2 linked regions of the Nothobranchius furzeri genome follow. The protein of the gene in region 1 binds, or shares a complex with, the protein of each later gene. Links are inferred from orthologs where the notes say so. Each region holds a gene or a part of one and is shown in the gene's direction. Other genes may lie near its edges.

What was found. Proteins that work in one complex are often made in the same cells at the same time.
Region 2: polr1h (region 1) and polr1f share a complex: the UniProt entries of both Homo sapiens proteins name them as parts of the RNA polymerase I (Pol I) complex. The link is inferred for Nothobranchius furzeri from reciprocal best matches to the Homo sapiens genes POLR1H and POLR1F.

The regions. Positions count from the first base shown.
Region 1 is NC_091751.1:25,535,588-25,539,342, forward strand, and holds the start of polr1h (DNA-directed RNA polymerase I subunit RPA12), read left to right. Parts: upstream 1-1,365; 5' UTR 1,366-1,469; intron 1,470-2,039; 5' UTR 2,040-2,062; coding exon 2,063-2,180; intron 2,181-3,755. UniProt on the Homo sapiens protein: Core component of RNA polymerase I (Pol I), a DNA-dependent RNA polymerase which synthesizes ribosomal RNA precursors using the four ribonucleoside triphosphates as substrates. Can mediate Pol I proofreading of the nascent RNA transcript.
Region 2 is NC_091751.1:28,041,362-28,045,116, reverse strand, and holds the start of polr1f (DNA-directed RNA polymerase I subunit RPA43), read left to right. Parts: upstream 1-940; 5' UTR 941-985; coding exon 986-1,269; intron 1,270-1,542; coding exon 1,543-1,684; intron 1,685-1,755; coding exon 1,756-1,964; intron 1,965-3,755. UniProt on the Homo sapiens protein: Component of RNA polymerase I (Pol I), a DNA-dependent RNA polymerase which synthesizes ribosomal RNA precursors using the four ribonucleoside triphosphates as substrates.

The DNA.
Region 1 (3,755 bases):
ATCCTGTCTATACTTGTGTGAAAGCAAAGAGTTGGTTGGTAACACAATCTAAGGGTGGATCTGTTAGTCAGGAAGCACTGATGACTTCGAGTAAGTGTTCTGCAGGCAGGACTGGGATGATTTAAATCCAGAAATTTGTCACTGAGGCATGTGAGACATGATGGTAGAATTGATATGTTGTTAATAAAGTTGCTAAAACATTTTAATCTTCATGATAACATTTTGCAACACGACCTTCAGTCACAAAGCTTTATTCTAATGCTCCACTTTTTGTAATCTTTTTCTGGGATGTCTTGAAAACAACAAAGGAAGATGAAACAACCTTCTGTGATCCATCCACGTCTGCTGGTGAAGTTCCGTTTCCTCCCTGACACATTATATGGCAGGAATTGATGGACCATTTAATTACTGAATGTGTGATGTCTACATCATCAAAGAAAGATTAATACTTGCATTAGGGCTTATTGTTTGTCATTCTTTTACTGTGTTCAAATTATGAATTGTATTTTTGATTTTCATTAACATTTAAAAGGAGTCCACAAATAATATAATATGGAAACAATTCATTAAAATAAAACACCTATGGAAAAGTCAGACATCCGTTCAAATTTTCTACATACATGCACCAAACAAATGAATGATCATAGGTTTCAGCCTGATAAGAAAACACAGCATCACTGTCTCAGCTGGTCGGTTCCAGTTTCACTCCAATGTGAACTAAACTAAATCAGAAAATTTCAAAATTTGTGATTTTAAGAACATTTGGTTTGTGTGACATCTGTAACCACCGATGTGTAGATTATTCTAGTGGCCTTTTTTTTCTTCTTCTTTTTTTTTTTTTTTTGTAAAATAGATAAAAATAAACAGTTATGAGCAGTACTGTTTTTGACATGGGCGACCTGGGTAATGGCCCAGGATGGCATCATGAGAGGGGTGGCAAAATGGGTACGAAAAAAAAACTTATTTTGGGAGCGCAGTGCCTGAACATTATGCTGGTGTGTGTAACTTTTGGAAACATTTGTTCTGCTGCGTGCTGCAGAGGGAGGAGGACAGGTCTGCTGAAGCGGCTTGAGTGAAGCAGCATCTAAAAGTAAAGTGTGTTCGCCCAGGGCACCGAACAGGCTAGGACCACCCCTGGTCATTGTTGCCCCAAATCTCTGCACAGTAATTATGAGTTTAGTGTTGTTTATTATTTCCACGTATGCTTTACTTTGGTATTGAAATGCTTCTGGAGATGCTATATGATATTTCCACCTTATTTTATTGTTTGACACCATTTAATGGTATTTGCGAATTAATTTAATTATTCCCAAATAACATTTTGGTCATTAACTCATGTCACGTAAACAAGCGTGCGACACTAGCACGTCCTGCGTCATCAGCCTGCGACAATAACGTGATAGGACCATATACATAGCTGTGGATAGGACCCTAGGACCTCTACTGCAAACAAGTGACCGGTGAAAGAGGTTTGTAACGTTTTATACTGACTTAATAAATGATGACAGTAGCGCTGTTTTGAACTAAATGTGTAAAGAATAGCCGAATACTAATATAAACATGTAAAAGGTTTCCAAGTAGCTCCACGTGCTCAATGTGCTGCTGCTACTACTGCTAATAATAACAATAACATTCACTCGTTAGATTTCATCACACAGCCAGGAGGTCTTTTAAAGTGTTAATTTATAAAGTGCTAAGTCTTCATAACGGAAGTTACGGTGTAACTATGGTTCTGTGAGTTCCTGGATGACTGCCAGTCACAGGGGTCACTCGGAACTTCTCGGGCGAGAAGATCCCGGGAGACCCGAACGTAGCTATCGGCGCGTAATTTATAGACTCGCGACCAGGTGCGCTACGTGTCACGTGCGTGACTTTGTTTACATTAGTACTCGACCTGCGCAGAGCGCGAGGAGATACATCCACTCTGTTTACTGCCACTGGCAGTCAGGAGGGAACGAAACAGAACCCATGTGAACCGAACGGGAAACCAGTGGTTCATGGTTTTGATTGTTGTTTTCAACGTGTCTGTGTTTCTCAAGAGTCAGCAGCCCGGTTCGACGGGATGTCTTATTTTAGTGGTGACCCGAACTTCTGTCCTGAATGCGGGAACGTTCTTCCGGTACCAGTAACCTCCAACACTGTCCTGTGTCCTCGCTGCTCCTTCTGCATTCCTGTTTCAGGTAACGTGTCCCAGAGCCGTTTCTAGCTTTGTGAGGGCCTGATTCAAGAGGCTGTTTGGGAACCCGGGTGGAGGTGGTGATGATTCCTCAAAGTACCACAAGTGTAGTAAAAAGAAAAAAAAATCACTTCACAGTAAATGTATTTAACGTGATAGTGATGCACCGATATGAAATTTTTGGGCTAAAACAAATATACAATATTAATATCACCGTTATGGCCGAAAACCGATACCGATATACCGACATTAATGCTTCTAAAATCAGCAGATTTTGTGTAGGGCTTGTGATCACACGTGATTACGCATAGCATTCTGCAAACTGTGAAATAAACGGTACTGTCGCAGAGTAGAAGCAGATTTGGGTGAAAGAAAGTGTTAAATCACATAAAATCCCAACAAGGATGTGGAATATACAGGGACATGTTATATAAAGACGTCGGGGACCGGTATGTGGACAAAATCATCATTATAAATGGTTTTGATCCACATAAAAGACCCAAGACTGGAGCACTGGTGACATATTGTTGCAGCTGCAGTTCTGCATAACAGACTTTTTCGGCTATCTTGTTTAACGTCCAGATGAGAGGTAAACGTTTAATTTGTTGGTTTTTCTAGTAAAACAATCAAAATTGTCATCCCTCAGAAGAAGTGTAGCGAGAAAAGTTATGTTGTGTATCATTAGCTTACCGGTAGGTGAGTGTAGCCTCTGTGTACGTGTGTGTTTCGTGTGCATGTTGCGGTTGAGGGAAAGAAACGATGTATAAAAACGTACACCATCTGTAATTTACCAGAATGAAAATAATTTGGAAGGTGATGTTTGGTCGCCTTACAGCTGCGATCCAAGTGAGCTAACAAGACTTTATGCTAGATACTTGGTCTCTGTCGTTTTGCCACTAAACAGGAAAACTGTGGAAAGTTAGCTTGTTTTTCACCTTAATTCCACTGGCGATCACGTGTGTCACATGAATTAATAATACATAAAAAGTATCAGCTGTTGTGCTACAGCTACTATTTACCGTCTATGTGGTAGATTACTGTAAATACAGGCATGAACATGTAAGCACACAAACAAATACATATATCAGGTGCATCCTGCATGGAGTAGTGACCGTAGCGTTTAAGTGGCTGGCTGACTAATGACGTCATAATGTGTTATAAATCCCATCTACTGGTGGAATCGGTGGTCTACGGGAGTGCTCCTTCCTGCAGCGGGGGTATATCAGTTTCTGACTGAATGAGCTGCTCAGGTTGATGTGTGTTGTTCATGATGGATGTTAGCTTAGCTAGCATCCTCCTCTCGCCCACCACCGATTCCAGGGGGCATCCCAGTACAGAGCTAGTCCTCTGCACCAGTTTGCCAATTCTGTTCTGGTCCCTGTCTGTACATCCGCTTCCCCAACAGGCCACTGCATAGAAAAGGGCAGATGCAACCGACAAATCATAAAAAGTCCTTCACAGAGTTCTGCATACTCTGAAGGACCTCAGTTTCTCAGCAGGTGGAGTCAACTGCATTTGAGATGGGCAGATGAAGGACAGTCCTTGTGGTAACTCTGGGAGAGCTTAGTCTGACTGATTG
Region 2 (3,755 bases), about 2.5 Mb from region 1:
CAACACTGTAAGTATAGCACTGTTAACACGTGGAGAGCACCAGCGTAAATACATCTTTTGTACTTTATTTATTTATTTATTAGAGAAGATAACATACAAACAAAATGCACCTTACATTATATATTCAAAAGATAATCATTACATGCATATTCAACATTTTCATGTATATGGAAAAAAAGGAAAATCTAAAGATGGGGTCACATAATTAACAGGTTATTAACTTACTAACTCAAAATCTTCTACAAAGGAAATAACAAACCAGCCTTTTTCTTTTTAACTAAATTCAAAGATTTAACTAATACTTTTAAGTTGTTTTTCCAATAGGCTAGTGTTGGTTTGGTCTTAAAAAATCGACATTTATGTATAAATTGTTTACACAAAATTAATAACACATTAACACCATAACTAACTTTCTTTTCTTTCAAAAACACTCCAAACATTATCATATTTAAGGTAAATGGGGCAATTTGAATCCCACTAGAACAAAGCCAGGCATGAAAATCTAACCAAAATATTTGTATAAAATTGCACAAAAAATAGATGGCCTAAGTCCTCCTCTTCTGTTTCACAAAATACACAATTACCAGCTTCTATATTGAATCTATCCCCAAGGAGTCTATTGGTTGGGTAAATTTTGGTCAAAAATTAAAATTGGACTTCTTTCCCTTTAGGAGCGATAGGGAAGGTGATATCACTTCTTATTTTTTCAATTTCTTCCCTTTGGAAATCTTTTAATATGTAATTACGTCTAAGTAAGTTTGGATCAAAAAGATTCCTTAATGAAGATCTTAGAAACTTATTATTGCATTTATCATCACAAAATTGAATATCTTCTATATAATACATCTTTTGTACTTATTAGCTCACGGTCTCCCAAAGAGCGCTGCTCCAGTGAACCTCCGAGCCAGCAGGGGGCAGCATAAAGGTTTAGTCGCTAACTTCAACACGACAGTCTCGGTTGTTTGTCTTCCGGTCCTCTGGCAGCATGGCGAACTTCGAGCATGCTGTGGAGGATCCAAAACATGTGGACTTGTCCAACAATATGAGCGCTGCTGGCGCCCCGGTGAAGCCGTCCTCTGCTCCGGACAGAGATGCGGGCTGCGTGGTCCCCTCCTTCGCGGCCGCGTCGGAGCTCCTGCCGGTGCCGTACTCGTGTCTGGTGCTGAACTCCCACCGGAGACACGTCGCTCTGGCGCCGCAGTACTTGAACAAGAAGAAGACTGGCATCCAGGAGGAGCTGGACGGAGAGCTGCTGAAGTTTTCCCAGAGGTAGAAAGACGAGCACAGGCGGGATTGCCTGATTTAATCACTGTGCTTGCATTTTATGGCAGTCAGCTGACAGCTAAAGGTGTATTCTTTGTGTTTTAAATGAACTATTTGATCTTTTTTTAAACAACTGGAATCAGCAGCGTAACATATCTTCAACATCAGGAGGTTTATTTGAGCTCAAGTCAAAGATGGAGTCAGGATTGTGTCATAGTATGCTTGGAAAACTGCTGGTATTCCCGTTCCAGTTAAAGCTGTTGGTTTTGTGTCTTCCAGTTTGAATGGAGTGCTGTTAGCCTATGACAACATTAGGATTTTGGGAAGAAATGGGGACATCTACAATGACAGCGGCTACATCCACATGGACATAGAAGCCAGCTTCATTGTATTTCAGCCCAAAAGGGGACAGAAACTCCTGGTAAGATGGACAGAATTAATCAGAAGTCATCTCAGTAGCACCAATTGCTGTCGTTGGTTTGTTTTCTACAGGGTAAAGTGAATAAACTGGGAGTGAGCCATGTTGGCTGCCTCGTGCACAGTTGTTTCAATGCCAGCATTCCCAGGCCAACTCTGGTGTCCATAGAGACCTGGAGGGACGCTGGTCCTAAAGTCGGGACAGAGCTGGAGTTTAAGGTGACCGCGCTCGATGCTGATGCTGCAGGAGTTCTGCTGATCAGGGGACAGCTGGGCCGGACCAGGTGAGTAGGTGCTGATGCTGAGTTGATGGTTTGTTTTAGGGCTGGGCGATATGGACCCAAACTTATTCCTCTATCTTTTAGCTGAATTCCGATATACGATGTATATCTCAATATTTTTCCTCCTGTAAAGTATTTCCAAGTTAACTCACTTCAAGCTGTCTTGAGAAATTATAAACATACATCAGTAGATTAAATGCATAAAAATGTATTGATTCTTGTCCAACTTTAACCTTAGTGCCTATTCTCAACCAGTCTGAGCTTTAGAAACACTGGTACAACTGTCTGCTAACACACACACTCACACACACACACACACACACACACACACACACACACACACACACACACTCACACACGTACACAGTTGAGAGCTAGAGGTGTATCAAATGTCCCACAGGGACTTTTTTATTATATATTTATTAGTAATGTAAAATGATTTAGATTTCATCTAGAGGTGGCCCATATCGTTTATTTCTTGTCCATAACAAAAATCTATCATGTTAGGCTAAATTTATGATGATGTTTATGTATTTAGCAGACGCTTTTGTCCAAAGCGACTTACAAGTGATAATCGGCATGTAGCCCTTGAGGCTAACAACAACAATAACAACAACAACATTGACATCAGTCATGGAGAGGAGGGAACAAAGGAGTGGACGTTAGAGGGAGGGACGGGTGCAGGAAAGGTGCTAGTTAAGAAGATGCTCTCTGAAGAGCAGGGTCTTCAGGAGTTTCTTGAAAATTGAAAAAGAAGCCGCTGTTCTGGTAGTGCTTGGAAGGTCATTCCACATTTGTGGAACGATGCATGAGAAGAGCCTGGATTGTCCTGAGCGTGGTGTAGGCACTGCTAGCCGACGATCCTGTGATGACCGGAGCGGCCAGGCCGAGACGTAAGCCTTTGCAAGAGGATTCAGGTAGATGATGCAATTGCATCTACTGAAGGTCACATGGGTCATGCACCATAGAGTTATTAGTTATCAGGGCAAACATGGCTGGAATCTATCAGTGTTGACTCATATCAGCGATTATACTGTAATGACTCAGAGTCTCTGGTTGCTCTTTTATGAGTAATATATTTGAGCTACTGTCGCCGTAACCCACGCCTTACAAACTCTTAACTTTTTCAACAGAATTGCTCGTAACGGGAGTATTTATTAGCATAACAAACCACAGCGGAAAACCCGGAGCAACATTTCTCACCCGTTGAGCTCGCCTTCAAAATAAAACGTTAACCCTATAGTTTACTATTCAAACCCTTACTATATGTTTGAAGTAATTTGCCCACTCCGGCTTTCCGTAGATGTTTCCTCATTACACAGGGGAGGGAGGGGTTTGACTCGTCTCTCCACACAAGCAGGACGGAAAACAGAACTCCGTTGGCGTTGAACGTCCCCAAATAATTAAAAACCAGAACGCCACATGCTAAGTTTAGACCAGCACATTTACCCAGAGGCTCTCAGATTGAGCAAACTTGAGAGAATACATGTAATAACCCCTTAGAGACGGAGCAACATGTCACTAGCATAGCAGTTTGACCAGTTATAAAGGTATAAAGTCATCTTATATCTTGTTTAAAAATTATACCGATATTTTAAAAATATCGGTATATCGCCCAGCCCTAGTTTCTTATATGTTATCAGTTCCTGTTTCCACCTGGGTTCAGTGTCAAAGTCACGTTATTGTTTTCATTTACATTTAAAACAGAAAACTGAAGTTACATCAGTTCCCAGGCTTTTGTCTTTTTGTCTTGCTCTTGTTAAGGAAACAGAATCCGATAGTCCCACATGTGAA